7 linked regions of the Ovis aries genome follow. The protein of the gene in region 4 purifies or fractionates together with the protein of the main gene of each other region. This does not show direct contact. Links are inferred from orthologs where the notes say so. Each region holds a gene or a part of one and is shown on either strand. Other genes may lie near its edges. The genes, in order: FBXW7, FLNA, MLST8, RICTOR, TUBB, PRR5L and YWHAE.

Region 1 (4,077 bases), on a different chromosome or scaffold from region 4:
ATGCTCCCCCGCCATCAAAAAAACATGAAAAACATTAATATCACCTAAAACCTGCTTAAGAAATTTCATCCTTCCTCCTAACTTCAACTTGCTTCCAGGTCAAGTATTATAATACCTCACACTGGAATGAGTACATTGATTTCTTTTTAGTGGACATTTTAGAAGCATGCTTAAGGAACCTTAAAAATGTTCGAGTATAAACTGATTAAAGTCATCAAGTAGATCAGTGACAGGAGTCTGATTAAATCCAAGTCTTTTAATGGTTGATCTAGAGCTCTAATAAAAGGCAGTTCCACTAGGGTTAGAACCTCACCAACTGAATTACCTATTTATTTCACATGAAATACTGCTGAATTACAAAGCACACTTCTCTCCTATCTGTTATCACCAATCTTCTAAAAAAGTAGTCAACACTTTCGGTATTGACTTCCTTCCCTCCTATTTAAATGTACACCACTTCAGTGAAACTTATATCAATGACTGATTTGTTGGTAATCTACCATTCAACATTTCAATATATATGAAATTTCAACATTATCTTTGATGAAATCTCATATGATATTCACACCCTTATCCTCATGTTATCAGTGTTCATAGAGGTTTTGGGGGGGAGGGGGCAGGGGGCAATAAACTTGTTACCATTGAATAATAAAAGATTATAAACTCTAGTGTTTAAATTATATTACCATCTTCTATAATTAAACTTTTAAGTATCTGGACTTAGGAAAAGTGCAGAGTGATACTGGAAATATTTTCATCTTTCAAGGGCAAGTATTTAAGTACATTACAAAGAAAAGCTGCCTTCCCAGGGAGGTCTGACTATAATATACAATGGCAATTTTATGCTCAATTTCTTCTATAGCAAATTACTAACACTGATTAATTAATGTAAATGTTTTAGATGTGGTTGAAAGAAATAGCATCTCTATCATGGCAAAAACAAATACATGGTTAAATAATGTAAATTAGGGAAGGAAAGAGAATTCAGCACTTTTATATATCAAGTTCTGTACAAAATACTTCATATGTTAGATAGTTAAACAAGTAGAGGAGTTGGTGAGGAATGTAGAGAGGGGAGATAATTTTCCTTCCTCATGTAAAGCCCTAAGCAGAACTTTAAAGTCGTCAAAATCTTAGGCACCAGTTTCTGAAAGTCTTTTACAGAACACTAGTTCTATTTTAAGCTTTAGTCTTATACTTCTATATTTATAATCAATTGTTTTAAAATGCATAAAAGATGAAAATAAAGATTATTAAACTATAATCACTGAAAATTCATAATCGTGGATAACAGGTTTTTAAATACTTATATTCTTAAACACTACTTTAAAATAGCGTCTATGTTTCCATCAACATTCCTTAGAATTGGTCCAACTCGATTTTCTAAATGTTGTTACATCTATGAGAACACTAAGAAAGCAGAAGACCAGAAAAGAATAGACAGCTCTAACAAACCCCCAGTACAAGGACTCACCACAATGCCAGTATCACAATTATAGCTAGAGTTTGAAGCTGGTGAAATGTACATATGTGAAGAATATTCTGTTTCACTTAGATGACACAGGTTAACATAAATTGTTATAGTTTAGAGATGTGTTCTCACGATCAACACCAAAGTATGTTGATACATATGTTGACGCTCAACTAGGAGTAGGGAGCAGAGATTATATTTCATCATATTCAAGGCTACTTTTGATGAATTGATGGATGAAATAACACCTAATCTCTAACATTTCATGGGGGCACTCAAACTAAGTATAAAATTTACTGAGCTCACCCAAAACTTAAAGCACAGGAAAGAAAAAAGAAAAATTCACTATTCATTTTTAAAAAGACATGCTGCTGCTTTAAGTGGCCAGCAGTCTCCCAGCAACTCCGGGCTGCAATCACAACATCCATTAGAGAGCTCTACTGCTCAGAGCGAGCAAGCAAGTGGTTGTCAGTGCAGCTAGTAAATCACCTGATCCTATTACAAAATCAATTACTGCAGTGCATTTCCATTGCTACACAATCTGATGATGACAAAATGATATTGGATAGCTACTGCAAGGTCAAGAAAACTGCGAAGAACATCTTTAATTGATCTTTTATTTTTAATTATTTGGTCCTAGTTATAAGGCATCAATTTTAATTGCATATTTTTATTTGAAATAAATCTATGTAGTTACCTTTGGTTGTCTAGGACATTCGGTGGATAATCTCTGCAACTGGTCTGATGTATGGCTACCAGAGAACAGATCGGAGCAGCAGGTCGAACGGCTCAACCTCTTCATTAAGGAAGAAACAACGCTGCAGCCACAGCCACACATTGACTTGTTCATCAGACAAGAATTTAACTTAAAAATTCAGAACTAGTAATGTCCCATGTATACTCAAAACTGGCTAACTGCCTCATTCTGCAGCCCTCAGGCTGAAAGAAACACTGTTAAAAAAAAAGAATAAAACAATAGCTTCCCTACAGAAGATACCAGCCACAAACTCATTGTCAAGAAGAACTCAATATTAAAAACAGAAGTCTCCCGGCTACTCCTTAGAAAGAAGGTAAGGTGCTTTAATATTTCAAACTATTTTATATTAAAGCCCAAGTACTTAATAAAGGAGCAAACTCAAGATAAAATATCCCCAAATTATACTAACCACTCTTTCTGTCTTCCATCAGTTTAGATCTGTTTGCCTACTCCTCCGGCTCAGCCTATCCAACCTGTTCCCTCTGTAAATGCCCACTGTCTCAACAACCAACAGGAATGAGCCCCACCCTTGCTTGTCCCCATACACTCAGTTCAAGAACCGCTCAATATCTGGAAAAGAACTGCTGCTGCATTGCTTTGAGAAACAACAGGGAGCAAATTACTGGACGGATTCTTTAACTTACCAATCAGAACTGCTGACCCTTTCTGACTCTACAATTCAGGAAGCCTGCCAAACGCTCAAAGTAAGAATAACAGCTGATTTTACTTCTATATTGTAGATTAATTTATAGGATTGTTTTCAATCTTGTTATTCAATCTAAAAGAAAAAAGACATAGGCATAACTATTTTTTAAACAAAATTTAGACAGTAGCTAATAATAATCTCTGAGTATGGCTTGAAGAGAGCAGGATGGTGGTTGATAGCCAAAGTAAAAAAATTCCTTCTCAATACTGCACTTGAACTTGAGAATTACGGAGCAATAAAATACTATATCAAAGACAGTCGTGTCGATAAGGATAGAGCAACTAAGAAAGAGAATCCAAGGAGGTCCCTGCCATCATAAATGTCAGAAGAGTTAAAATGAGAAGGAAAGGGTGGGTGACTTTATAGACAGGTATTGATAATAGATGATAAGCCACCAAAAACCTGGTTGCTTTGATACTAAATCTTCTCCCACCTGTTTATCTGCATCTCATTAAAAAGATTGAAAAAACACAAACCACCCTGAAAACATAAACACTGTTAAGTATGTTAGCCATCCTCTAGGATTTTTTGCCAATAATATATAAAGATATATATATATATATATACACACATCATGTTATTATAATCCACCTTATAATTTCCAGGAGAAGAGAGGGTTACATTGATAAAAAATTATAGTTTCTTCCCAAACAATTAGACTTCAAAACAAATGTAACTTCATGAACATTCATAGACCCACAATTATCAGTCTTTGTTAACAGCATTCTTTTTGAGGAAGAAGTCTAAGAACTAAAAAAAATATCTTGTATTAAAAATGTATTTTAAAATTGTAAAATGTATTTAAAATTTTTTTAATGTTTTTAAAAAAGCATTAAAAAACTTCCTATTTTCTGTAGGTTCTTTATTTGCGTATGTCTCATGCTCAGTTTCTTTGGTTTAAATCTAAAAAGAGCTAGCATCGCCTCTTCCTTCACCTTGCACTGCCCTTTTGAAATTCATGTAAACTTAAATCAATTTCCAGAATGTCGAAAACCAGGCATGCACTTCACACTGCATCTTTACAAAACCTTTTGTAGATAAAGGCTGTGAAAACAAACAAGCAAATAATGCAGTAACCTTTTACTCGCCTGCTGGAGGTACTGTCTGCTGCACAGAATTTTAAATCCTCATCTGCAGATGCAA
Region 2 (3,500 bases), on a different chromosome or scaffold from region 4:
GTGCACCAGGTGTTCTCCTGTCTCCTTGGGCACGAACGAGATCCCTAGGCACAGAGCGGGGCTGTCAGCCAGGGAAAGATATGCAACTACCCCCCACCCAGCTTCCCTCCCTCTCGGAAGGCCCTGCAGCCCAGCCTCTTACCCACGTGGCCGTTACGCAGCCGCTTCAGCAGACAGGGTTCTTCCCGGCCTGAGGGGGGCACCACTGTGGCAGTCAGCAGGCTGAGGTCCGTCTCGGAGATGTTGATGGGGATGTCAGCTGCAGAGCCCACCTTCAGGTGGGACATGCGCATGGAGTCGTCACCTGGCAGGGGTCAGTCACTGTGTGTCCAGGCACCGAGAGGGAGACCGCCCCCCCCCCCACCGCCAGCTGCCTCCTTTGTCACCGCTGCAGGCCGTCCCCTACCTGTGACCCTGGCAGTGAAGGGGCTGCCTGGGATGTGCTGTTCGTTGTACTTGACCAGGATGCTGTAGTCACCAGGTAACACGGGCAGGTAGGAGACACTGCACGTCCCATCCTGGTTGTCGGTGCAGCTGATCTCTGCTTTGGAGGGGCCCTCAATGGCCAGGGACAAGCCCCCTGGAGAGAGTTGTGAGTGAGGGTACAAACTGTGCCCGGGGACACTGCACCAACCATGCAAGCAGAGGCTGGGGGTGGGGTAGGGAGCCCTGTTTGGGGAGCATCTCCTGTGTCCAGCCCCCCAACAGATGACGGCATCCTGCCTCAATCAGGCAGGTCACGATGAGAGGGGCTGCTCACCCTCGCCCGCATCCTTGGTGTTGACGGTGAAGATAGCAGGCTTATTCACCACCCCATGTGTGAGGCCCGGCCCATAGGCTGTGACGTGGCCACAGTTGACATAATCCACGTAGAACTGTAGGGGGCTTCCTGTAGCAGGAATAGGGACCACATGGACCAGGGCCTCCCGTCATCCCCAAGTCTGTCCCACAGCCTGCCCCCCCAGGAGGTGGTCTGGCATGCTGAGTGGACGTACCTGGGATGTGCATGTTGTCATAGCGGATGTCCATCTCGTGCAGGCCAGCTTCACTGGGGGCGTAGCGCACAGTCACGGTGCCATCCTTGTTGTCAGTGATGGCGGGCTGTGCCACCTTGCCTGAGGGCATCCGCACCTCCCCTGCAGGGGAAAGGGGGGCCTGAGTCAGGGCAGCCCATGGGCACCCTCCGGCCTCTGTGGCTCCCTAGCCCCTTCCCAGCTGCACTCACCAGTGACCTCGCCCTTCTTGATGGTAAAGGGGATGACAAGGTCAAAGGGCCTCAGGCTGCTCACATCCAGCCCATTGACCCCCACCAGGGGCCTTTCTGGGGCCTGCGGGGGGCGGAGACACAGAAGGCCTGAGTGAGGAGCTGGAGGGAAAGGGAGTCCCGAGTGATAGGCTCCAGGGTCCCTCCCTCGAAGATAGTGGAACAGGGCCTCACGGGACACCCAGCTGGTCCATCCCCAAGTGTCCCCGAGGGCGGGGGGGGCTTGGAGGCGGCAGGGCAAGCCATACCCAGGTCTGCTGGCCCCCCTGGGCGTAGGTATATGGTGGTGCCAGCTGCTGAGGCCGTAATGGTGGCTGTGCCGTGGGCTGGTCTCCAGCCAGAGCCTGCAGAGCAAGGCACAGAGCTCGAGGCTGTCCAAACCCGCGAGCCCCGTGGGGGCGGCGAGCCAGGTCCCTGCCCAGACCCCCACCCAGCCCCAGTCCCTCCTGACCGTCACTTGGAAGGGACTGTTGGGCACATGTTCACCACCGAAGCGCACGCAGATGACGTATTTGCCGGGCTGGGGAGCCGTGTAGAAAATGTCAAAGGTGCCATCCTCATTCTCAACCACGTCCACGTCCACCTCAGAGCCGTCGGGCGTGCACACAGTGCAGGTGACCTTGCCTTTGCCCGCCGCCTTGGTGTCCACGGTGATCACGGTCTCCTCCCCTATCTGGATGGTGGGGCCGATGCCAGCACCTGGTGGGGCAGGGTGGGTCCCCGAAGGGGGGGCCGGGGCATGAGCTTGGTGCTCAGGCCGTGGCCATTCACGTGTCAGCCGCCCAGGCCTCTTACTGCCAACCACCAAGCACAGCCAGGCCTCCCGCCCCCCAAGCTGGGATGGTGAGTGATTTCTCAGAAGGCAGGAAAGGTTCCCCTGAACCACCTCAAGCCCGGGAGTCCTGTCTCGGGGGGTATCCCTGTCATGTGGGAAAAGCCCAATGGTTGGCATCCAAGAGTCTGAGAAGAAGAAGGGCCTGGAAAGCCCCGAGGCCACTGCCAGGGCCTAAGCATTTGCTGCCATCTCCCCTGCCAACTTGGCCTCAGCCAGTGGTGCCCTGGACCATTCTGACTGACAGCTGAGCCTCGGGCTGCCTTCACCCCTGTGGCCATGCCCTGGCCCCCAGTGCCGTGTGCGGACGCAGTGAGGCAGAGTCCTGCTGCAGCGTGGGGCATGTGACACTTGTTCCCCACCCCTGGGGCCTGAAGTTGCAATCGGAGTTTCCTGACAACTGAGAAGGCTCGCTCGACCGGAGACTTGCAGAGAAGGGGCAGCCGGGCATGGCTTGGTGCAGGCAGGGAACCGGGAGCAGGGAAGCAGGAAGGCAGCGGGGTTAGCACCCAGGCAGTGCAGCGCAGCAGGGGGGCCAGTACCCATAGGGCAGGGAGGCAGGGGGCCCAAGCCAGAGCCACGGCTGCGAGGCGGTGAGAGCAGAGGGGAGGGACAGTGACGTTATGATCTGGGCTCAGCCATGGAGGCTCGGGGGGCTGGGGACCGTGAGGCCTGGCAGCGAGTGCTTTCTGGAGCCTGGCCCCTGCCAGGGAAGCAGCTGGCAACACCGAACCCACCCCAGGGCCAAATTCAAGGGGGTCCCCAGCCGGCCACTTGGCCAGCCCCTGAACTGTACTGTCCACTGAGGGTGCCCACTTTGCGGGGCTCCAGAACACTACGCCTGGACCCCCACCGCCCACCCCCAACTGGGAGGCCTCACCTCATACACAGCCACACCTGCTCTCCCTGGCTCGGAACCTGGACCCACCATCTAGTAAGTGGCCTGGGCCCAAACCTCAGTTGACCCCAACTGCCCGTGCTCCCTGCCCAGCACCCAGCTCTTCATCAGGTCTGGGCTGCTCCATCCTTGAAGCCCCCCACCCCTTGAGGTTCTCCCCTCAAGCCCCACCCACCCACCAGCAGCCTAGCCCAAGCCAGCCCTGCAACTGATACCGAAGTGACTTCGGTTCCCCAACTGGGCTCTTTGCCTCCGCTGGCACATGGCGGCCAAGGTAAACCAAGACCGCTCTCTCGGCCCCAGTCTTGACCCTGCCCCTGGTCCCCAAGGTCCTATCCCCTGGCCCAGGGACACGGGCCTGTCATCTCAGACCCCAAGGCCCCCTGGACGGAGTCATCAAACCCCTGCCATCCTCTAGCTTTCTCCAGGGCCACCTTGGCCAAGGTCCAGGCCTCCAGCCTCCAGAGGCTCCCATGTGCTTGTGGCCTCTTGCTGGCATCCCTGGC
Region 3 (4,235 bases), on a different chromosome or scaffold from region 4:
GCACACACGTGGAGTCGGGGCTGAAGCGGCACTGCAGGGCATAGCGGGTGTGCGCCGGGATCTTGGTCTTGGGGATGAGCTGTGTCACCTCATCGCCAATGCCTCCGGTCAAGTTCCAGACATAGCAGTTCCCCTGCCAGGGAGGAGGGAAGTCACAGGAGGCCGGGGCCTCCAGTCTGATGGGTCGGGGAGGATACCCAGCAGCAAGGCCTAGATCCAGGGGCTGCCACCCAGCACTGCGGCTACGCACAAGGACCTGGGGGCCGGGGATATGTGACAAGGAGCACCTGGGAGACCCGGCCCTGAGCAAGGGCCACGCCTGATGGGCTGAGGGCAGGAGGTCATGCCTGGCCTTCCTGAAGGATGCGCCTGGCCTTCCTGAAGGATGCGCCTGGCCAACAGGAATGTGCAGAACAAGACAGGATGAGGGCAGCCAGACACAGGGAACTTCAGGGCAAAGGCTTGGGAGTGGACAGTTTGGAGATGTCGAGGGATAACTGATTCGCTGAGATCAAATGGACATTAAAGGGAGAAAAGGAGGCTGGATAGGAGCCCAGGGGTCAGATGGCAGGGTCCTGAGGCCCTGGTAAGGAGCCCGGGGCATCTCAGTGTTAACCTAGGAGAAGGAGGTGGTCAGGCTGCTCCTGCTGAAGGACAGGGAGATGTCACAGGGGAAGGAAGTCAGAGAGGCTCCAGCCACTGTCAGGAGAGAGGAGGGAAACTGGAACCAAGAGGAGAGAGGGAAGTGGACAACTGGAAAGAATGGAGGTGGAGAGGCCCCGTCTGCCGCATGGGCCATGGCCGGCGGCGAGAGGCTGCACTGGGCATGACCCCCAGGGTTCTGGCTCTAGGGGCTAGGTCAGAGCTGGAGCCCCGGCTGGGGAAGCAGGACTCGGGAGGAGAGGGGAGAGGCCACAGGGACACATGGGGCATGAGCCCACCTGCAGGAACAGGGTTCTAAAGAACAGGGCACCGAGCTGCACCCTCTCCCCGGGGCTCACAGTGCTATTGACAGCAGCCATGTAGCTGGCGTCTGGGTCGATGTGGGCGGACGTGATGGAGACCTCTGGCTCCGGGATCAGCTGCTCATTGTGGTCGGTTTTCAAGTCCCAGATGTGGATGGCGCCACTTTGGTCACCCACGATGAGCTCCGCCTGAGGAGGTGTCAGGGAGGTGAGGCCGGGCAGCACCCCTGCCCTCCAGAGCCCCAGGATGCCCAGCCTCAGGCGGCCCCCTCACCTGGTTGGGGTGCAGGCACACACAGTTAATCGGCGCATTCACCTGGAAGATTCGCTGACACTGCAGGTTCCGGGACCTTCGAGATGGGGGGACACACCCCGTCCGTGGTGCGTGGCCGTCGGTGCCCCCCTCCTCCCCGAGAGACCCTTTCCTTTGCTCTTTGGTACAGCTCATTCCAGACCCCTCTGTGGGATCAGGCTAGGGATCTGCTCGGGGTGGGGGGGAGGGGGTCTTTGTGGGTCTGCCTCCCTGCCCTACCTGCTTTCCTCACCTGCCTTCAAGAAGTCACCTGCATAGACAGTCTCCTGGGCTGGCCCTCACCCTACCCACCTGGGCAGCAAGCTGCTCCCCACCCACCCACCCCCCGTGCCCACACCTGAGGTCCCAGATGCGGGCGGTGCAGTCCTCCCCGCCCGTGTACATCCAGCGCCCATCCTCGTGGAAGCCCACCGACGCGACGTTCTTGTTGACCCCATCGTAACTGATGATGGGGTTGGGGTTATTGGAGTTGAGGTCATACATGCGAATGTGCTGGTAACCTAGGAGCAGAGACCAAACAAGTGAGGCTGTGCCGACGGACCTAGGAGAAACCAGGGGTTGGGGTGGAGGGCAGGGTACCTGCAGCTGCAATCATGGTGCGGTCGGGTGTGATCTCCAGCGCGTTCACCTGCTGGGTCTGTTAAGGAGGGTGACCAACAGGGGCCTCCAAGGCCTCCACCCCGGCGGGTTCAGGGCCGCGTCCTTCCCACCGGGCATCCTGTCCGGCACCACCCGCCCCATCGCCCCAGCGGAGGATACGGAGTCCTGGTGCTGCACAGTTCGCGTACAGATCCCGCTGTGGGCCTGCCAGAACCGCACCGTGTGGTCATAGCCTGCAGTGGCCAAGATGACGGGGTCACTGCCCACTGTGCCTGGAGACGTATTCATGGTGTGGCTGCCGAAGGGCTCCGAGCGACACAGGGCACTAGGTCTGACCCGCAGGGGCCAGAGATCAGAGCATCTAGAGCAGAGATAGGGAGTGCAGTGTTTAGAGAATACCCTACGTCCTAAGTACGTTACAGCAGATTACTCGGTGCTGGGGAATAATGAAATCATCCCCATTTTAGACACGGAGAAAACCGAGGCGCGGAGAGGTTCAGGGCAACCGGCAAGGGACAGCTCCGCGCTCCGAGCCGCTGCCTCCGTCCCCCGCCCCGAGAGCCGCCGCCGGAACGCCCTCCCACCAGCGGCCTGCAGGGGGCAGTCGCGCCGCGGGCGCCGCGGTACCGCAGGGGCGGGCCGCGCGTGCGCAGGACTGCGCACTGGCCCGCGAGCAAAGCCTGAGCGCGGCGACCGCGCGTGCGTAGTGGGCCTGCGGCGGGCCCTGTGGGGCGGCGTGGCGGAGCTCCCTGGCTGGACCCTCGAGCTTCCCTGCGCTCCGCCGACCGCCCTGACTCTGTCCCGCGGAGCCAGCGCCCCCCGGGCGCGCTCTCCCGGCCCCTGGATGTCGCCTTCCAGCCCTCGTCCCGCGCCCCCCGTACCTTTCAGGCGGCTCCCCGCTCCGCCGCGGCCCAGGACGGCTAGCGGAGCCGGAGCAGGTCGATAAAGGCAGAGCATCGAGTTATCGATGGGCTAGTAGGGCGACACCAAGGGGCGCGAGGGAAGGGGGTGGCGGGGACGAGACTGAAGCCCTGGGGTAGAAGGCTCCTGTCTCCTGGCAAGAAGCGGTACAGGCCCCGGGACGAAAGCAGCGACCCCAGCCTTTTCCCCTCTCGGGGACCCCACCCTCCCGAGAGCGGTTCCCTAGGCTGGATGGTACCATCCTCCTCCCCCCCCCCCCATCCGTCTGGTGCCCACTAGGATTCCCAGGTAATTTACAGGACATCCAGTTGCATTTGATTTCAGGTAAGCAACGTGTTTTGTTGAGTACAGCCTAAATATTGCACGGGATATACTTATACTAAAAAGTTCTACGTTGCTTGCGTGAAATTCAAGTGTGGTTAGGTGTCCTGTAGTTTTATTTGCTACATCAGGCAACCCCTAGTCTGGGCCCTGTCAGGCCTGTGCAGACCCATCGGACCCTCAGGTCCCTTCACTAATCCCAGTGACCCGTCCATTACTGGGGTCCCTCGCGGCTTCTCTTCCATCCAGCCTTCCCACATTCTACACACGTGGCCTCAGAAAAAAAATAAAAAGAATCTTGCGACAGCCTCTCCCAGGGCATCTTCCCACCAGGCTTCTAAATTGAGCTGCACCCCTTTTCCTTCCTCTGGCCCCTTGACCAAGGCCATGTCCCCTGCCTATCCACCCAGGCCCTGGTCCCGGCAACCTTCCTCCCTGAATCTTCCCTCTTTCCTTCCTGTCAGCGTTTCTTTTTCTTGTCTTTCTTTAATTTTTTGTCTGTGCACCATGTGGCATGCGGGATCTTAGTTCCCCGACCAGGGATTGAACCTGTGTCCACTGCAGTGGAAGCACCAAGCCTGAACCCCTGGACTGCCAGGGAAGTCCCTCCCTCAGCATTTCCACACCATCCTTCCAGACGGCACCCTTTCAGAAATCCAGCCTCACTTCTCACTAGCAGCTTGACTCGCTGTCAGCTGTCATGTTTTACTCCCAGCTCTCCAGTGAGAGTTTCACAAGGTCACTGGCCATCTCACACTGCCAAACGCAGCACATACTTTTCTCATGCATCTTGCTACGTCTGTCTACACAGTGGCTGACAGCACTGCTCCTAGAAAGCTCCTGTGACTGTTGCTAGCTTCTTACCCCCCGCTTTCATTCTCTTTCTCTGCCTTCCCCTCAAGGCTGGCAGCCTCCAGAGATCCTGTGTCCACCCTGTCCCTGGGGCTCCTGCCCACTCTCCAGGGATTTCAGTACCTTCCTTGCTCCGGGTCCTTCCTTCCCTGTCTCCAGCTCACAGCCAGCTCCCTGTTTGACATTGTCCATCAAGGGCCCCACAGACCCCTCTGCTTCCCATGGCCAAGACAGTTCATGATAGACCTGCCCCTAAAGGCTTT
Region 4 (4,216 bases):
TGAAGAAACCAAAAGTTAATGAAGGTTAAATAAACTGCCTCCAATCATCCAGCTGAGTTACAACTCAAAACCATTTGACTTTATACTACACACTGATGGCTCCTCTAGGAATTACAATAACCATGGCCTCTATTTTATAATGAACTTTGTTAGACAGCTACACAATGACTTTCTCAAAGGTTACATAAAAATAATGAGAATGAGAGCAAACACTGCCTTACAGCATTTAAGAAATTTTTTCGGTTACTCAAACTTTATCTAAAACATGCCGTAATCCAATCCACAAACAGCTGCCCTTCAGCTGCAACCCAGACTGCCCCACAGTTCTCAAATGATTACAGAAGCTTAATTCCTCATGAACTTTCATGTTAGATCCACAAGCCTTCTTCTAACAATGAGTGTTTGTCAGAATAGCAATTTCTCAAACAATAGAGTCACTATACAATGAATCTAACTCAGATTATTTTTCTTATTCAAGACTTCCTTAAGATTTAAGAACAGTTCTCTCCTGTCCTCTCACTCTTAGTTGCATATTGCTTTTGCAGTTTCAGCTAGCTGTGCATACTTCATTCTAAACTGAAATACATCTTGTCCAGGAAAGCGTTTTCTGCACTTTTTGTATTGATATTATCCTAGAAACACCTATAGAGAGACGGTTACTAAACACTCAGGGAATATAGCATTCTAAATAATAAATATACAGCTATCTGTGTACTTGAGTAAAACTGGAGTAAATGAAAAGGTATCAACTCAGATTTGTACATAAGCTTTTTTACTACCCCAAATTTTGACACCAGACAAACTACTACATATAGGAGATCAGCAAAGTCAACTTAAAGCACAAGTATAATTCATTTTCTAGTACCACATTCAAACAGATTTTTAATGCACAAATTAAACCCAAGATCTATCAAATAAAGGGTCTTCTCACTTTCATCTAAAACATATATGCACATATATAAATTAAATCACTAAAACTACATCTTTTACAAAACTCAAATGCTAAATTGAGCCCTGTGGGAATCTTGCTTATTTTGTCAGGCAATTAACTAGGAAATCTTTTCCCTCACGTATTTTATACAGACTTTTCATATGTGTGTTTTAGTCAAGTTTCCAAACTGTTACACAAAAGTCAAAAGTTTTATATCTCTCTACATTAATATTCAAACCCTATCTGCTGAAAAAAGTTCTAATTTAGTGCATCAGTGACCTAATTAGTTGTCATTTTTATTATTTAAGCCCTATTTTATTTTAGAAACTCTGCAAAAGTACCTTGTTCACCCGAAACTAAGTCCCTGAACTTTTGGAATAAAATATCGTTACAAAAATTTATTGTAGCTGAATTAAAAACTAGCCTTTCAGTCCACAAAACAGTAATCTTACATTATGATATACAAAATAAAACAAATTAGAGAATGCGCTATGCTTTAGATAGATGAACCTCAACAATAAGCTCGCATCTAACAAATACTGTAAATAAGTCATTATGTCAAGTAGAACGTAGTTTTAAAGTTTTATATAGATTGTTTAAAAGGACTTTTTTTTAAAACTTCCCAAAGTGTTTTTCAGATCTCAAAAAGGAAACTGGTTCTATACAGCTGAACCAGGTTACACGCTAAGTTACAGCGGGTGTGAAACGACTTCATCGGAATCAATAGACTCAATCTTGTTTACCGTGGATGAGAAAAGAAAAACCTTGTATATAACTACCAAATCCTCGGCGAGATATTGAATAAATTCCAGTTATGGTGACTGATGAAAATAAACTGGCAGTAGCCGGATTAGATCCTTAAAAATATAACCCGGGTTTACCCAGTTCCGAAGGTGTAAACAAACCCGTCGCCACTGCAGAAGGTAAACAATGAACCTGCAGCGAGGGTGAGGGGGCGGTCTTTGCCAACTACAGTCTCAGCGGCCCGGGAAAGGGAAACAAGAGGGAAACACACACACACTTCGCAGAAATCATGGGCTCTGGGTTTCGCTACTGACTTATCAATGCTTTGGGTCCCCCAGGGCGGTGGGCAAGGAGAAAAGCATCACGCAGTCGGCAAGGACCGAGCAGGTCCGGCTTCGGCGCTGGGGGACGGGGAGGGCAGGATGTGGTCTCTCTTCCCTCAGACATCCTCTAGCAACCTAAATAACAGCCTCCACCTCCCTCCGGCCGCCCCTGGGATTCGGCTGCTTCAGCTCCGGGATAGGACGACTACGCTCCCCCCGCGGTCTAGAAAACCCAGAGGGTCGGCGACTCCGCCGAGTCCCGCTTGGTGCTCCTGGGCACCGCAGCACCCAGAGGCCCGGAAAAGGGCTTGGGGAGAGGAAAGCGGGCACCGGGAAGGGGGATGGGTCCGGGAAGACAGCCCCCGACTTGCTCCCGCGGGCCGGCAGGCGGGGCTCGGGTTCGGGCTCTGTCTCTCGTACCCGCGCAGGTCCCGTGCGGGGCCGGTCCCTGCCCGCGGCCCCCAACCCCGGCTCCTCCCCAGTAGGACGCCCTCGCCAGCGCCTTGCGTTACCTCGGGTCAGATCCAGCGGGACGTTCTCCTCGCCGCTGTCATTCCGCCCTGCGCGAAACAGACACATAGCCCCAGTTACGATTCGCTCCCAGGCCAGCGGTGGCAGCCCTGGCTCCGACCAGCGCCCCGGTTCGCTCCACCCGCCCAGGGCCCGGGGGAGGCAAGTGCCAGGGGTGGCGGTTGCCGGGCGGCCAGGGGTGAGGGCTGCAGCAGACTTACCTCGTATTCGGAGGTTCTTCAGCGAGCGGCCGCGGCCGATCGCCGCCATATTGACGGGTTTCAGTCACAACACCGGAAACCTCGCCCAATCGCGCGAGAACCCCTTCCCCTCCCCGCGCGCCGCGCCTGCCCCCCGCGGCATCTCTCCCGCCCCTCGGCATCTCTCCCGCCTCTCGGCGGCGGCTGGCGGCCGGCAGCGGGTGGTGCCGGCTCACCCGGGGCGCGGAGGGAATAGGATGCCGACTCGGGATCTCGATAGAGCTTTCGACGGAGGGTGGAAGGCGCCGCGACGTGCTCGGCCCTCCGGAGCACGTCCGCCAGGAGGGGGCATTTCCCACGAGGGGAATCCCATTGATGCGAATTTGCAGCGTGGAGGATGCTTCCCGTCCAGCCGCCGCGGAAACCGTAATCTAAACCGACGCTAGGTGGGAGGAGGCCGTGATGCGCCGGACTGGCCACCTGCTGAAACCATCCCGGATGACTGTTTTCAAGTCCTGAAATAGCCCGTCTTCCTTATTTATCAATTAAGACGATTTTATTAAAACAATACCAAAAAAAAAAAAAAACTTCACCGTTTTAATGTAACTAAATTCTGCCTAGAATCGCTTTGCTCCAACCAAGTTAACATATAACAAAAGTTTGTCCTCCGTCCTCGCTCAAACCTCCGTGCTAAGCAGCCTTGCGTTTGATTTTCAAAGCCACACGCAGCCAGGCTGGCTTCTTTAAGTGGAAGTGGTCGGGTGGAAGTTCTGTTTTTGACCGCTTGGAGCAGAACCCGAGAACAGGATGAAGAAGTCAGGGGTGCAGGGTGGTGGTCCCTGGCGGTGGGTGGGATTGTTCCCGCGCACGCGCGGGCGCCTGCAGGCCCGGGGAAAGGGTTTCCTTTCTTCCTGGAACCAAGAGTAGTGGCAGAAGCCTCCGTCCGGGTTTTCCCTCTGTGTAACTCCTGAAACAGTGGTGCAGATGTTGTGGACCAATATTTTTTATAGATGAACCTAACACTTACTAAGTGTAGAGACTTTAATCACTATATAGGCATCTGGCCACAGACCCAGCAACTTTGTTTTACAGTAGATTAACTTTGTTTTTTATTAACTTTTTATTTGGTATTGGGGCACAGCTGATTAAAAACTAGATTAACTTTAAAGAGAGGGGTGACTGTTTCGTCTCTTCCTATTCCTCAACGCTTTCCTTTCTGTTCTATAAGACTGGAGGTTGATTAACAGGAGATATCTTGCTGTCTTTTCCCAGCTACCCGTTAATGCATTGTCCATAATAAATAAGTGTTCAATAAATAATGAATTATCTGAATAAATGCCCTAGATTCCTTGTTTCAACGCTCTTTTTGCTGTTTTTAAAAAAAGCTATTTGTACATACCAATTGCAGTCGTTAATAATAAAGAACAATGGGAAAAAATAAAAGTAGGAATTATGCAGATTATTGCAGCATTTGAAAATGATGCAGGTCTAGTGTATTTGTAGGAAAT
Region 5 (3,974 bases), on a different chromosome or scaffold from region 4:
GCGGAGGCAAGTGGTGACTCCACTCATGGTGGCCGAGACGAGGTGGTTCAGGTCTCCGTAGGTTGGTGTGGTCAGCTTGAGGGTGCGGAAACATATGTCGTAAAGGGCCTCGTTGTCAATGCAGTAGGTTTCATCAGTGTTCTCCACCAGCTGATGGACGGAGAGGGTGGCATTGTAGGGCTCAACCACAGTGTCGGACACTTTGGGTGAGGGCACCACGCTGAAGGTGTTCATGATTCGGTCAGGATACTCTTCACGGATCTTGCTAATGAGCAAGGTGCCCATTCCGGAGCCAGTACCCCCACCCAGTGAGTGGGTCAGCTGGAAGCCCTGCAGGCAGTCACAGCTCTCGGCCTCCTTCCGAACCACATCCAGGACCGAGTCAACCAGCTCGGCTCCCTCTGTATAGTGGCCCTTGGCCCAGTTGTTGCCTGCCCCGGACTGACCTGTGATGGGGTTAAAAGGCAAACTTGTTCAGTCAAGTTTGAAAGATACACAACCCCATTTCTACCTTTCAACTTTTGGATTAAGGCCAGTGGATTTATCTTCCTTCTTACTCCCCGATGATACATCTGCCCCTATATAATTTGCTATCTAAATTACTACCACCACTCTCCATTAGATTTAAAAACACAAGTCTGTATAAACTCAAGTACAATCATTTCTAACTCTCACTGCACCCAAATAACTCGATTAGCACTATCTATTGATATTTCCCTAACTCACCAAAAACAAAGTTGTCTGGTCTGAAGATCTGACCAAAAGGACCTGAGCGAACAGAGTCCATGGTTCCGGGTTCTAGATCCACCAAGATAGCACGAGGGACATATTTGCCACCTAGAAGAAATAAAGTAGAAGAGTGAAAACTGGAAGACATAGAGATAAATAAATTGGGGCCAAGAGAGCCGGGGACCCATATGTGTGATTTCAGACACTGCCACCAGGTGGCAGCAGAGACACTGGGAAAAGCGAGAAAGGTCTCCAGTGAGTGTAGATAGATTCATTCAAAGGGGGTAAAAGGTGTCCCGGGGAGGCAGAGACCCCAAAGAAGTGGGAGAGATGGGACCCCTGCTTCCCGGGCTCTTGCCCTCACCTGTGGCTTCATTGTAGTACACGGAGATGCGGTCCAGTTGTAGGTCGCTGTCCCCATGATAGGTGCCGGTGGGGTCGATGCCATGTTCATCACTGATTACCTCCCAGAACTGCCAGGGAAGAGCAAAGAGTCTTCAGCATCTCAGGGTGCAGCCAATTATGCTCCCCTACTGCCATTTTAGCTCCAGATTCGCCTGTGGCGGGCCCTCCCCAAAGATCTAGCATTTCTTCTGCCTGCCACACCCTTCCCCTAGCCACATGCACCTTCGGGGAAAAGGCAGCTTTCACTGCCTGGGACGTGAGATGCTGTGTGGCTTAAAGGGTCCGGGGATTGCGCGGGGTGGGTAGATGGAGGTAGTCACCCTGGGCACAAAGAGACGGGGCGGGGAGGGGTGCAAAGAAAAGGAGGCACTGCAGCAGCCCACCCCGCCCTGCACGTGACCGCGGCGCACGCACGCGCCAGGCGGCCGACAAAGGGAGGTGCCGCGCGAGGGCGGGGCCGAAGGGCGAATTCCGCGCGCCAGGGGCGGGGCTTGGCTCGGGCTCGCGCGCCCCCCGCCGGCCAGCCTGGCCGCATTGTCCCAGCGCGCCAGGGGCGCCCGGGTCCCGCCCTTCTGCTACAACGTAGCAGCCGCACTTCCTCCCTGCCCCTCCCCCGCTACACTGTAACCGCGCGCAAAAAAAAAAAAAACCCTCCCCCTTGGCCTCGAAATTTCATTTCTTTGCTAGCTTTTAACCCCCTTGCTTTAAATGAGGTTTTTCTTCCTTTGTCCTATTCTCTAGCTCTGAGGAACCCCTTCAAAGAATGGACTCCCTTTCCTTCCTCGCCCTTTCTCCCTATCTGTCCACGCCCTTAAGAGTCTGTTAAGGGGAAATAAAAGGAACAAATTAGTCTAGCACATATTAGCCTTCCATGCACGAAAAACTGCGGGACCGCCCCTTGGGGATCGCGAGCGCCCGGAGATTCCTGATCATTTGTAAAGGATATCGCCCAGCCCACCTGGCTCAGCGCGCCCCTACATTTGGATCTGACCTCTCGGCAGCTGCCCGCCATCCTCGCCCCTTCCCCCCTCTGGGTTAGCCCCACGAAGCCCCGCCAAGGGGGATGCACATGGGGAAAACCTCATCCAGCTTTTGTCTCGGGCCGTTTCCGCATCTCCCTCGCTCCCCGGTCCTCGGACCGTTAGGAGATCCCCTTTCTAAGTAAAATTTTACAGAAACTCGGTTTTCCCGCCCCCTAACCCTGAAGGGTGCTTTTAACAGCTTCCCCAAAATAAGCCTGCCAAGAAAAATAATTCCTCATTTTTCAAAAGCAAATCCTAAGGTTCAAAGGTGCATTTATATATAAAAGTTTTGAGGGGCAAATCTGGACTAAGAATGGAAGATGCAAACGTTCTACAACCATCCGTCATAATATACCTGTTTGGATTTGTTTTTTTTTTCCTTAAAAATAAATACAGTCAAAAGAGGTTAAAAATCCTTACCTTGGCACCGATCTGATTGCCACACTGACCGGCCTGGATGTGCACGATTTCCCTCATTGTTAAAATTTATTCTAATCTTTTTGCTCGCCTCAAAGTATGTACGGGGCAAAAAAATAATACGGAATTAGTTTTTCTCTGCTGCTGGTCGCAGGGTGAAAAGATGGAACGGGACCCGGAGGCTGAAGCAGCGAGGTCCGAACGCGGCGGCAGGAAGGTTCTGAGAGGGAGAAAGGAGAGGGGAGGGCGCGGGAGGAAAGGCGGGCAGGGCGGGGCGCGCGTGCGCGGGGGCCGGGAGGCGGGAGAACTCTCCGCGCGCCGCGGTGGAGAGACAAAGCCTCACTAGGCTGGCCCTGATTAGTCCGTGCCGGTCCTGTATCACAAGTCCATTGGTCCTTGCTGGACGAGCGCAGTCCTGCCTGGGAGTTGTAGTTCTCTATTGTTGTCCACGCTGCAAAATGAAAGGACGAATGGGTGGGTACTGGGTCTGGGGGTTTTGGTTTAGGTGTTTTGACTGAAAAACGGCCTGGCGCTAGGGTTCCTTCCTCTATGCCTGACTCTTCTGGTATCAAAAGAGAGTAGTTTTAGCAGGGTACAGGAATTGGGAACCCTGGTGTGCCAGGCTTTGGAAGGTGGAGTGAGGGCACGCCCTGAAAGCTCCCCGCTGCGGTAGCTCTTGGGAAGACAGGACTGCTTAGCTCAGCGAAAACGGGGAGAAATGCGGCACCCTGATCTGCTATCTAACAGCTGGTCCCTGGTGACCCAACTGGCATGAACTCCAGTGAGCTCCGGCTCCCCCAGATATCTCGGGAAGGAGGAGGGCATTGCCTTCCTGCTATTTCCTTGGGAGCTTTCTAACGATAATATTTAGAAAGAAACAAAATTGCATCAAGGACTTTTCAGTATAAAAAGTAATTGTTTGGAAGGTATGTTCAAGAATAGAGAAGCAGATATGCCGGAAGTCTCCGTCCATGTGGGGAATCTGCGCCTTAGAGCAGCGTTTAACACAGTTTTGTCAAGAGGCGAACTGTGGGGTGAGATACCTGATAGGCACTTTGATGAAGTCAGTGTTTTTTCAACTCGCTGATTTCACTGAGAGGTGGTTGACCATTGCAATCTTTCAAGAACCTCGGGATTAAAATAAAAGTAGGGAGGGTGATGGGAAAAAAATGGATGAGCTCAAATCTGAGTGGCATGTTTCTTCTCAGGGATTAATTCAACTTGAGCGATATTAAATGTCCACCAAAGGAGCTAGGATGAAGGATTAGCTCACTGGTGGCTCAGGCGGTAAAGCGTCTGCCTACAATGTGGGAGACCCGGGTTCGATCCTTGGGTTGGGAAGATCCTCTGGAGAAGGAAATGGCAACCCACTCCAGTACTCTTGCCTGGAAAATCCCATGG
Region 6 (4,225 bases), on a different chromosome or scaffold from region 4:
CTCCTGTTTCCAAGCACATTATAGGCAGTGTGACCTTTCAACTCAAAACATTTCAGCTTGCGTCTCCGAAAAAGAAAAAAAAAGCTGAGGGTTATTTTCCAATCTAAACTATAATACCCTAATAGCACCTACAAAAAAATGAATCATTCTCTAATAACTGAATACTTGATCTGTATCCAAACTTCCCCAATCCCTCCCTAATTTCCTTTTCTGTCTTTCTGCAAGATTGCGTTTGAATTGCTCCTTTCCTTGGGCTGCAGCTCTAAGAGGAATGGAATGTGTCCCTTTGCTCCCCTCACCCCAGCACTCAGCCCTCCTTGGTAGGAATTTGTTGTAAGAATAACCCCCATGTCCCACCTCTTCCTGCATCACCATGCCAGAACCCGGGCCCCCAGCATGGGGAGCCCAGAGTCTCAACCACTGGACCACCAGGGAAGTCCTTGTATAGATCTTTTTAAGACAATCACCAGGAAGAGTGGAGAAAGAAGCCGAGAATGTCTGATACGGCTGAATTATGCACCCCCAAATTTATATGTTGAAGCCCTGTGCCCAACCTTGAAACATAACTATTTTTGCTGATGCGGCTTTAACGTGATGATTAAGTCAAAAAGAGGCATTTAGCGCGGGCCCCAGTCCAATCTTTACAAGAGGGATTTGGACACACAAAGAGATACCAGGGTACACACACACAGAAAAGGCCACGTGAGGACAGCGAGAAGAGGCCATCTGTGAGCCACGGAGAGAGCCTCAGGGGAAATGAGCCCTGCGGACACCTTGATTTCCACCCCCCAGCCCCCAGAACTGTGAGGAAATAAATTTTTGTTGTTTAAGCCACCTAGTCTGTGCTATTTGTTTTGGCAGCCCTCGCTGACTCAGACAGACTGCTCAGATGCTGGGGACTCAGCAAAGAATCTTAGGCACCTGCTTCGAGGGACTGGCAGTTTAGAAATCCCCAAAGTTAAGGAAGGAGGACATTCTCTGTAGTATCCGCAACATCGTATCAGGAGACAAAGAAGCAGGTTTAACCCCCACCAGGCCCAGCCATTCGGGGAGGAAGACTAGTCTCCATCTGGATGCAATATTGAAGGTCTGGGTTACTGCACAGACCTCGATGTATCAGCTACTGAGCTGAACCAGTGTTGGAACTAGAAAGGTAATCAGTAGAATGAGACAGTGGACTTCCCAGGTAGTTAACAGATTTATCTCCCCGTGCACGGGGTGTGGGTTCGATCCCTGGTCTGGAAGCTAAGATCCCACAGGCCTCTTGGCCAAAATACCAGAAAATAAAACAGAAAAAATTTTGTAACAAATGAAGTCAAGACTTAAAAAAATAAAATAAAAAGGCCCATCATAACATCTAGCAGCAATATATATATGTGTGTGTGTGTGTGTGTGTGTGTGTGTGTGTGTGTGTGTGTGTATGTATATAAAGAAGAAGTCAGGGAGCTTCCCTAATTTTCATCCCATGGCAAGGAAAGAGTAGGGCAGCATATACACACAAAAAAATTAGAGGCAACAATAGACACAAATAAAGCTGGCTTCCTGAATATACCTCGTGAGTTCTGCTTATTCAGTCTGTTCACTTACTTAGCCTGTTGCTGGGCAAATAAGCAGTGGCATTCGTTGAGCAATTATTATCATTCCAAATTCCTTCCCTGTCACCACTGGGCAATTCCGTCTTCACTGAACTGGGCAAAAGCTAAGGAACAACAGGCAAACCACTGAGGAGCTTCTGCATTCCTGGAGCTGACAAGTCAAGTGCTGACGTTCTACAAAGCCAGGATCAGAGCACCACCCTCCAGAACTCGTGATCCAGAGAAGGGGACTAGCTCCCAACCAGCCGAAGGGTAAGGCAGGCTTCAGATTCACATAAGGCTCTAGAGAAAACTGAGTTCAAATCCTGACCTTTCCACCTCACAGCTGTGTGACCCTGGGCAAGATATTTTATGTCCGTGTACTTTACTTTCCTTATCTATAAAATGGAGATGATAGAAGTACCCACCCCACAGAGTTTATGTGGAATAAATAGAGCTCATTATGTGGAATAAATGAGGAAACAGATGGAAAACATTTAGAACCTCCCTGACACAGGAGTTAGCATTACACATAGTTACATATAGCTACTGTTATAGGTCAGTGCCCCTCAAAGTGAAAGCTTACAATAACCTTGGTTTGCTGTAAAGGACATCAGCCAAGAAGCGTGGTGATGCAAGCACAGATTCTAGAACCAGACTGCCCGGGTCTGAATCAAGCAAGAATGGAAAGCACACGCTATAACTGTTTGCTCTAGTTGCTAGCAATACTGTCAGATACCTATAGTCATCTGTACACATATGCAATACACAGAGTAAAAGCTTAGTTAGGGCAGCTATCACTAGAGAACTAGCCTTCCCAATAAACCCACAAAGACCCTGAAGTTGCTGGTCACCCAGAGACATCAGAGGCATTGAGTGGGCGGGTCTGACAGGAAGCATGCTTGCCTACTCAGTGGGTTGCGGAACGTGACCTCAGCAGCTTTTGCTTCTCTGTCTACCAGCAGACAGTGGCTCTCAAGCCAGCAGGGTGCCTGGAAATCAGAAACCCACCCTCCTCGGGCTGGACACTCAGCCATACCCTCCAGCCCCTATTCCACGCCAGAAGCTCTCAGCTGCTTCTGTGTTACCTGGTCTCCTTCCTTCCTGTAGGGCAGGTGAGGTACCACAGCCCTTCGGCCTCCCGAGAAGATGACATTTCGATGAGGCCCAGCTGTCCCTGGGCCTGACCGTCCACTCAGTTCCCACTGCCCTGGGCCCTGAGGACTGGCAGAGGAACAGGCGGAAAAGATAAAAAGCTGACACCCCCTGCAGGAAATAATTGTTTAGCTGATGCCAGAACTGAAAAAACAAGTGTAACGATGGAGAAGGGAGAGCAAAGTGCCATTCAAGGCCATTGTTCCAGCCTCCTCTCTGTGTACGGAGGGAACAAAGAGGCCCTGTGTGTGTGACACAATGGCGTGTGTCACCAGCCACTGCTGTGCTACTCCTGGGGACAGGAGGACGGGAAACAAGGCCACAGTGCCCTCCTGGGTCTGGCGCGTTGTGGACTTCGCTAATCACAGCCCCCAGCCTGGTCAGAGCTGGGAAAGCAACTTCTGACTCCCAGCCCACGGTGCCCTGCAGTGGGGAGCAGGGGACACCCATCAGGAGTGACCGATCGGGTCCAGGCCAGTCTTCCAGGCATAGCGAATTGCCAAGGGACCCTTCCTCTCGCTCTCCTCTTCTCTTATCAGTTTTCACAGGCTCACCACAAGTTAGAGCTGAAAAGAATCGCAGCTATCTCATCTTCAAACACTCCAACTCTTGGCTTTCATGAGGGGGCATCCGGCCCGGACTGTCGCCTGGCTGTGTCGCACGTCAGCTGCAGTTGGCGATGCCAGATGAATTAATATGTAAGAGCATCCCTGGGACCCCCTCAAAGACCAGACACTCTGTTGGGAGCAAGCTCACAAAATGAGCCTTCTGTCTGTAAATCCTGGTTCTGCCACTAACTACTCATAGATTATGAGGGTTCTTTTTTTTTTCTCCCTCTCCAAGCCTCAGTTTTCCCACCTGTTAAGCTGAGATCATCCTTGGGTTAACATGGAGATTAAATGAGTTAATAGGCATCTCCGTGATAAAGAATCCACCTGTCAATGCAGAAAATGCAGGAGATGCAGGAGACATGGGTTCGATCCCTGGGTCAGGAATATCCCCAGGAGAAGGAAAGGGCAACCCACTCCAGTATCATTGCCTGGAAAATTCCATGGACAGAAGAGCCTGTTGGGTTACAGTCCATGGGGTCGCAAAGAGTCGGACATGACTGAGCAATTAAACGACAACAATATAAAATTCACGAAACATTACTTGGCCTGTAAAAATTGCTTAAGAAGCAGGAATAACAAGTTAGATGCTCACATTACAGCTGGGATTTGCTTAGACTCACGGGAAGAAGGCATGAGGATGGCTGGAATCCCAGGGTCTGGAATACCCAAATTCAGTCTCGCTGCTCACGATGGCCTGAGGTCCCTCAGGGAAGCTGGGCGCCAATAAATACCCTCAGGGATGAGGCAGGTGGCCAACTGCGACACAACGGGAAGCAGTTGGGACAGTGGGATTCCAGCACCCAAGCCAGGATGCAGAGGCAGCCAGGGCTCAGCTCCGGGCAACCGCTGCAACGTGGAAAGGCGGCAGTAGCATGGCCATGCCTG
Region 7 (4,245 bases), on a different chromosome or scaffold from region 4:
GCAATTTCAAACTGTCCTTTTCCTGAAGGCAGCTTAGTTCGTCCTCCAGTACCATTAAATAGTCTCTATCAATCGATTCCAATTCTCCAAAAAGTGTAGTGTTAGGTTCAACATAATGTGCAAAATAAAAACATAAAGTACTGCAGAAACAAGAAGAAAAGCCAGTATTTATACCCAACTCCTCCAAACCAAATCATCAAATGTATTTTTCACCTTCCCCATACTTGATAAATTGATAACTAAAACCACGGAATCATTTTTTGTTACCACAAACAAAACTGAATTATTACACCCAATTAAGGAATGGACACAGGTACAGACTGATTCCTAATGACTGTCTTCCTCTTCCTTTCCAATGAATCCCTTCCAATTTTGTGTCTAAAAATCAAAGGAGTTCCGCTACCTGGTAGATCTTATATCCCACCTGCCCCTCACACCACCTTTTGATCCTGAAGGACACCTCTAACATTTAATCAACGTTAAGGATGTGGCTCTACAGTCCTGTGTTGAATAAGCAATTAAGCCTTTGGTCAAAAACGCTCAATACTCAATTCCAAAATATGATTTCACACTGAACTGTCACTTACTTGAAGTTACCCAAACAGTTTTTAAAACAAGTTCTTAAAAAAAAAAAGTGTAGTGTTAGGTTCAACATAATGTGCAAAACAAAAACATAAAGTCCTGCAGAAACAAGATCACCTTTCTGGCGATCACAGCAGTTTTACTCAGAGACTAAATCCCTAAAGAAGAGAAAACATTCCAATATAATTTCGAGTTTCTTCCCAAGGGCAGTGATAGATTAAGAGGTGAACTTGTTTGGGGCAAGAGGAAAAGAAAAAAACTTTCATTACAAGTACACCTACAGCTGTTTTGACTTTTAAATACCGACATAAAGACAAATCTGACCTTGAGCTGTACTTCCCCATCATATCCCCCTACGACTAACAAGAATCTTGTTCAATACAAAGAGCAATTTAAAGATTTATGAAACGAAATTTAGAGATCTTTACTGAATTTTGAGTTCGAGCTCTTTCCTAATTTTCAAATTCCCAAATCCTAATGAATGACACACATGGACTAGCCCTGAGGCTATTCACGTGACCAAAGGCATTCAAGTAAAGTCCCCACGCCAGCATTTTGAAGTGGCTTAATTCAAGATCAATGACACCTGAATCCAGACATATCTCATCCCACAACAGCATTAAAAACATAAAAACCATATATATGATTTTTTGTTTTGATAATGCTAGTTTAACGGATGTGGAGTCAATTCAAGTAACCAGGTCCAAAATGGGGGGAGGGGGACCCAAGTCGGGAGGGGCAATTTAAAAAAGCGGCAGTTTGGGACTGACCGAACAGACACAAGGGCCATCTCAATAAAGTTCTGAAAAATGACTATGGCACCTTTAAAAACAAAGGAGCAATGAAAGGAGAAAAATTGTTCAAATCTGTACATAAAACCGTTTATTAAAAATGGAGGGAACAAAACAGGATCTGCCGAGATCCCTTACGTTCTTAATAGAAAAACCCAAGTCGCTGCTGAGTACCTTGGGACTGGTAAAGATCCCCAACGAAGGAAGAACACACATTCTAAGCCAGGGGAGTCAACCGAAATAGCCACTAAAGGTTATTTGAAAACACTTTATTTTTCACCAGGTCATTCCATTTGTCATAATGCTGCGTATGAACAGGAAAGTCACCATTTTTAAATACCGGTGGACTGAGGCACAGGCATGGGAAAGGCACCGAGAGCGAGCCAGGGGCTCCTTGTTTCCTGTTCCACGTTCTACAGTTTACGGAAAATGCTAACAGAAACTTCGAGCTCTCCGGGCTAAGTCTGAGGAGAAGGAGCGTGAGGGACGTTTCTCTAGAGCTCCCTAGAAGAAAGCGAGATTGAACGGGAAACCTAAAAAACGCCACTACAAGGTGTGCCGGCCTAAGGAAAGGAAATCCGATCGTAGCATCTCAGCTGGCCTCCGCCCAAGGATGAACTGCAGTGATTCCCACTCTCTCCCTCCTCCCCCGACCCCCGGCTAAGGCTGCCCCCCACCACAAGCCCGGAGAAGCCCTCGGCTCGTAAGGGTCCTCTTTTGTGAGACTCCACAGCCGCCGCCCCACATTGGGCCTCCGGGGAAAAGCCACCGCCCCCACCCGCCATATTTCCCTGAAAGGCGCCCGCGCTCCAGCTCCCGGTTGCCACTCTCCCCCATGTGGCGGGTGTTTCTTCCTTCATCACGCCACCCAATTGTTCACCACGTCCCAAAACCGGCCCAGAAGCTCCCCTGGGGATTGCTCGCCCGGAGACAGCACCCGCCATCTCCTCCCCCTCCCCCGCCCCAGGACTCGCCCTCCCCCCCAGCCGCCATTTTACAACCAACTCCTCCACCCCATGGCCTTGGCCTCCTAGCTCTCCTGTGTTTGCAGATGGGGACGCCCAAGGGGTCAAATTCCTGGGCCTGGAGCTTCCTACCGCTCTGGGAGCCCACAGGCTATTTCCTGATTCCCGAATCCACGTCCCCGGGCCGGTCTCGGCGATGATGCCGCCATTTTGTCTCCCGCTCCCAGCCTCTGTGGGCGGCGGCAGAGGGTCCGAGAATTCCAGCCCCCCGTTGCCCCCCCAACTCACCGTCGTATCGCTCAGCCTGCTCGGCGAGCTTCGCCTGGTACACCAGATCCTCCCGATCATCCATAGCGGCAGCGGCTCCGGCAGGGTCTGCGCGACGGATGGAAGCGGATAGCGTCTCCGACTCTCAGCCTCTCGCTCCGCGTCCGGGCAGGAAAAATGGCGGCGCCTCAATCCGGGACTTCCGCCTGCGCACGCGGACAACTGCTCAGCTCTATGGCAACCGCTCCCTGGCAACTGGCGCGGGGGGCGGATCCGGGTGCTCCGCGCCCGAGGACGTTAGAAACAGCTAGCCGCCCCTCCTCCGAGAGCTCAGCGGCCGCTTGAGGCGGGAACTGCTTCTGCGGGGAGGGAGAGCGCCCCGAGGGAACGAGGGAGGCCAGGTGAGGCCGGCCTGGACCGCTCCAGAAGAACGTGAGCGGCAGAGCCTGGACTGCGGGCAGAGAAACCAGAGGCTGTGAAGGTTTTTGTAATGACAAGCCATCCTCTCTGAAACTGACTCCTCCTGTTTTCTCAGCCAAGCTCAGCCCTGGGCCTCATTCAGGGCCCTGCTGTAGCTGATAAGGGAAGGTCCAGTTTTCACACTTCACCTTCGCACTTTGCAGTCTTTTTCTGTTCCTCTCCCTTGGCCTTTTTTCCCCCATAGGCCCACCATGGGGTAGGAACAGAGAAGTTCTTAGAAAAGTCTGGTCTGGAGTCCAAGGTGCAGAAGAGTAGGGCCGAGATCAGAATGAGATCCAGAAGGCAGGAATGGGAAAGAATCCATTGGTCTGTACTGCTTCCCAGTGGATTCCTAGCACCTTGTACTGAATACAGTATGCGGTATGTTGCAAGACTAAAGCTCAGGTAATCAGAACGTAAAATGTGTGGTAAAGTCTGCAATAAATGTAGAATAAGGAGACTTCCCAGGTGGTCCAGTGGCTAAGACTCCACACTTCCTGTGCAGGGACCCCGTGTTCCATCCCTAGCCAGGGACCTAGATCCCACATAGGACAATTAAGATCAGTGGCAGCCAAATATGTTAAAAAAAATTTTTTTCTAATTGTGGAATGAAAAGGTTGAAACTAAATTATGAAGAACCTTGGATGGCAAGCTGAAAGGTTTGCACTCCAGTGGGCACAAGGAAGCTATTTTTTGATGATTTTGCATGGAGGATGACACCATAATTATTTTTTAAGATGATTATTAAATATTGTATAGCAGTGATTAAAGAACAGGATAAATTATCAGGCTATTAATACCACTGAAAGGTCATAGATGATAGCAGTGAAAATGGGAAGGAAAGGACAAATAGGAATAGTACTTCAGAGGGAAACCACAAGAGTTTGTAGCTAATCAGATGTGAAGATATTAGGAAGGGAAAAATATTAAAATTAACCTTCTACCTTCCCACCCTGAGTCATTGGGATAAGAAGTGGCAGTACCATTAACCAAAAAATAAGAGACTTAGACTTCTCTGGTGGTACAGTGGATAAGAATCCACCCACCGATGCAGGGGACAAAGGTTCAATCCCTGGTCTAGGAAGATCCCACATGCTACGGAGCAACTAAGCTCATGAGCCACAACTACTGAGCCCACGCTTTAGAGCTCATGATATGCAAGGAGAGAAGGCACCACAATG

The links.
Region 1: the proteins of RICTOR (region 4) and FBXW7 purify together in Homo sapiens (affinity purification with western blotting; 3 studies listed by BioGRID, with this or other methods). This does not show direct contact. The link is inferred for Ovis aries from reciprocal best matches to the Homo sapiens genes RICTOR and FBXW7.
Region 2: the proteins of RICTOR (region 4) and FLNA purify together in Homo sapiens (affinity purification with mass spectrometry; 3 studies listed by BioGRID and IntAct, with this or other methods). This does not show direct contact. The link is inferred for Ovis aries from reciprocal best matches to the Homo sapiens genes RICTOR and FLNA.
Region 3: the proteins of RICTOR (region 4) and MLST8 purify together in Homo sapiens (affinity purification with western blotting; 14 studies listed by BioGRID and IntAct, with this or other methods). This does not show direct contact. The link is inferred for Ovis aries from reciprocal best matches to the Homo sapiens genes RICTOR and MLST8.
Region 5: the proteins of RICTOR (region 4) and TUBB purify together in Homo sapiens (affinity purification with mass spectrometry; 3 studies listed by BioGRID and IntAct, with this or other methods). This does not show direct contact. The link is inferred for Ovis aries from reciprocal best matches to the Homo sapiens genes RICTOR and TUBB.
Region 6: the proteins of RICTOR (region 4) and PRR5L purify together in Homo sapiens (affinity purification with western blotting; 3 studies listed by BioGRID and IntAct, with this or other methods). This does not show direct contact. The link is inferred for Ovis aries from reciprocal best matches to the Homo sapiens genes RICTOR and PRR5L.
Region 7: the proteins of RICTOR (region 4) and YWHAE purify together in Homo sapiens (affinity purification with mass spectrometry; 4 studies listed by BioGRID and IntAct, with this or other methods). This does not show direct contact. The link is inferred for Ovis aries from reciprocal best matches to the Homo sapiens genes RICTOR and YWHAE.

What each region holds. Positions count from the first base shown.
Region 1 is NC_056070.1:5,397,794-5,401,870, reverse strand, and holds the start of FBXW7 (F-box/WD repeat-containing protein 7), read right to left. Parts: upstream 2,801-4,077; 5' UTR 2,169-2,800; intron 1-2,168. UniProt on the Homo sapiens protein: Substrate recognition component of a SCF (SKP1-CUL1-F-box protein) E3 ubiquitin-protein ligase complex which mediates the ubiquitination and subsequent proteasomal degradation of target proteins.
Region 2 is NC_056080.1:80,094,839-80,098,338, reverse strand, and holds part of FLNA (filamin-A), read right to left. Parts: intron 1,964-3,500; coding exon 1,716-1,963; intron 1,609-1,715; coding exon 1,513-1,608; intron 1,329-1,512; coding exon 1,226-1,328; intron 1,137-1,225; coding exon 996-1,136; intron 890-995; coding exon 761-889; intron 581-760; coding exon 407-580; intron 305-406; coding exon 143-304; intron 45-142; coding exon 1-44. UniProt on the Homo sapiens protein: Promotes orthogonal branching of actin filaments and links actin filaments to membrane glycoproteins. Anchors various transmembrane proteins to the actin cytoskeleton and serves as a scaffold for a wide range of cytoplasmic signaling proteins.
Region 3 is NC_056077.1:2,254,256-2,258,490, reverse strand, and holds the start of MLST8 (target of rapamycin complex subunit LST8), read right to left. Parts: upstream 2,801-4,235; 5' UTR 2,760-2,800; intron 2,240-2,759; 5' UTR 2,167-2,239; coding exon 2,038-2,166; intron 1,910-2,037; coding exon 1,858-1,909; intron 1,779-1,857; coding exon 1,616-1,778; intron 1,316-1,615; coding exon 1,240-1,315; intron 1,155-1,239; coding exon 1,002-1,154; intron 134-1,001; coding exon 9-133; intron 1-8.
Region 4 is NC_056069.1:35,534,399-35,538,614, reverse strand, and holds the start of RICTOR (rapamycin-insensitive companion of mTOR), read right to left. Parts: upstream 2,801-4,216; 5' UTR 2,779-2,800; coding exon 2,730-2,778; intron 2,559-2,729; coding exon 2,511-2,558; intron 1-2,510. UniProt on the Homo sapiens protein: Component of the mechanistic target of rapamycin complex 2 (mTORC2), which transduces signals from growth factors to pathways involved in proliferation, cytoskeletal organization, lipogenesis and anabolic output.
Region 5 is NC_056073.1:27,415,843-27,419,816, forward strand, and holds the start of TUBB (tubulin beta chain), read right to left. Parts: upstream 2,801-3,974; 5' UTR 2,634-2,800; coding exon 2,577-2,633; intron 1,203-2,576; coding exon 1,094-1,202; intron 838-1,093; coding exon 727-837; intron 447-726; coding exon 1-446. UniProt on the Homo sapiens protein: Tubulin is the major constituent of microtubules, a cylinder consisting of laterally associated linear protofilaments composed of alpha- and beta-tubulin heterodimers.
Region 6 is NC_056068.1:65,580,331-65,584,555, reverse strand, and holds the start of PRR5L (proline-rich protein 5-like), read right to left. Parts: upstream 2,801-4,225; 5' UTR 2,663-2,800; intron 1-2,662. UniProt on the Homo sapiens protein: Associates with the mTORC2 complex that regulates cellular processes including survival and organization of the cytoskeleton.
Region 7 is NC_056064.1:22,439,095-22,443,339, forward strand, and holds the start of YWHAE (14-3-3 protein epsilon), read right to left. Parts: upstream 2,801-4,245; 5' UTR 2,691-2,800; coding exon 2,627-2,690; intron 1-2,626. UniProt on the Homo sapiens protein: Adapter protein implicated in the regulation of a large spectrum of both general and specialized signaling pathways. Binds to a large number of partners, usually by recognition of a phosphoserine or phosphothreonine motif.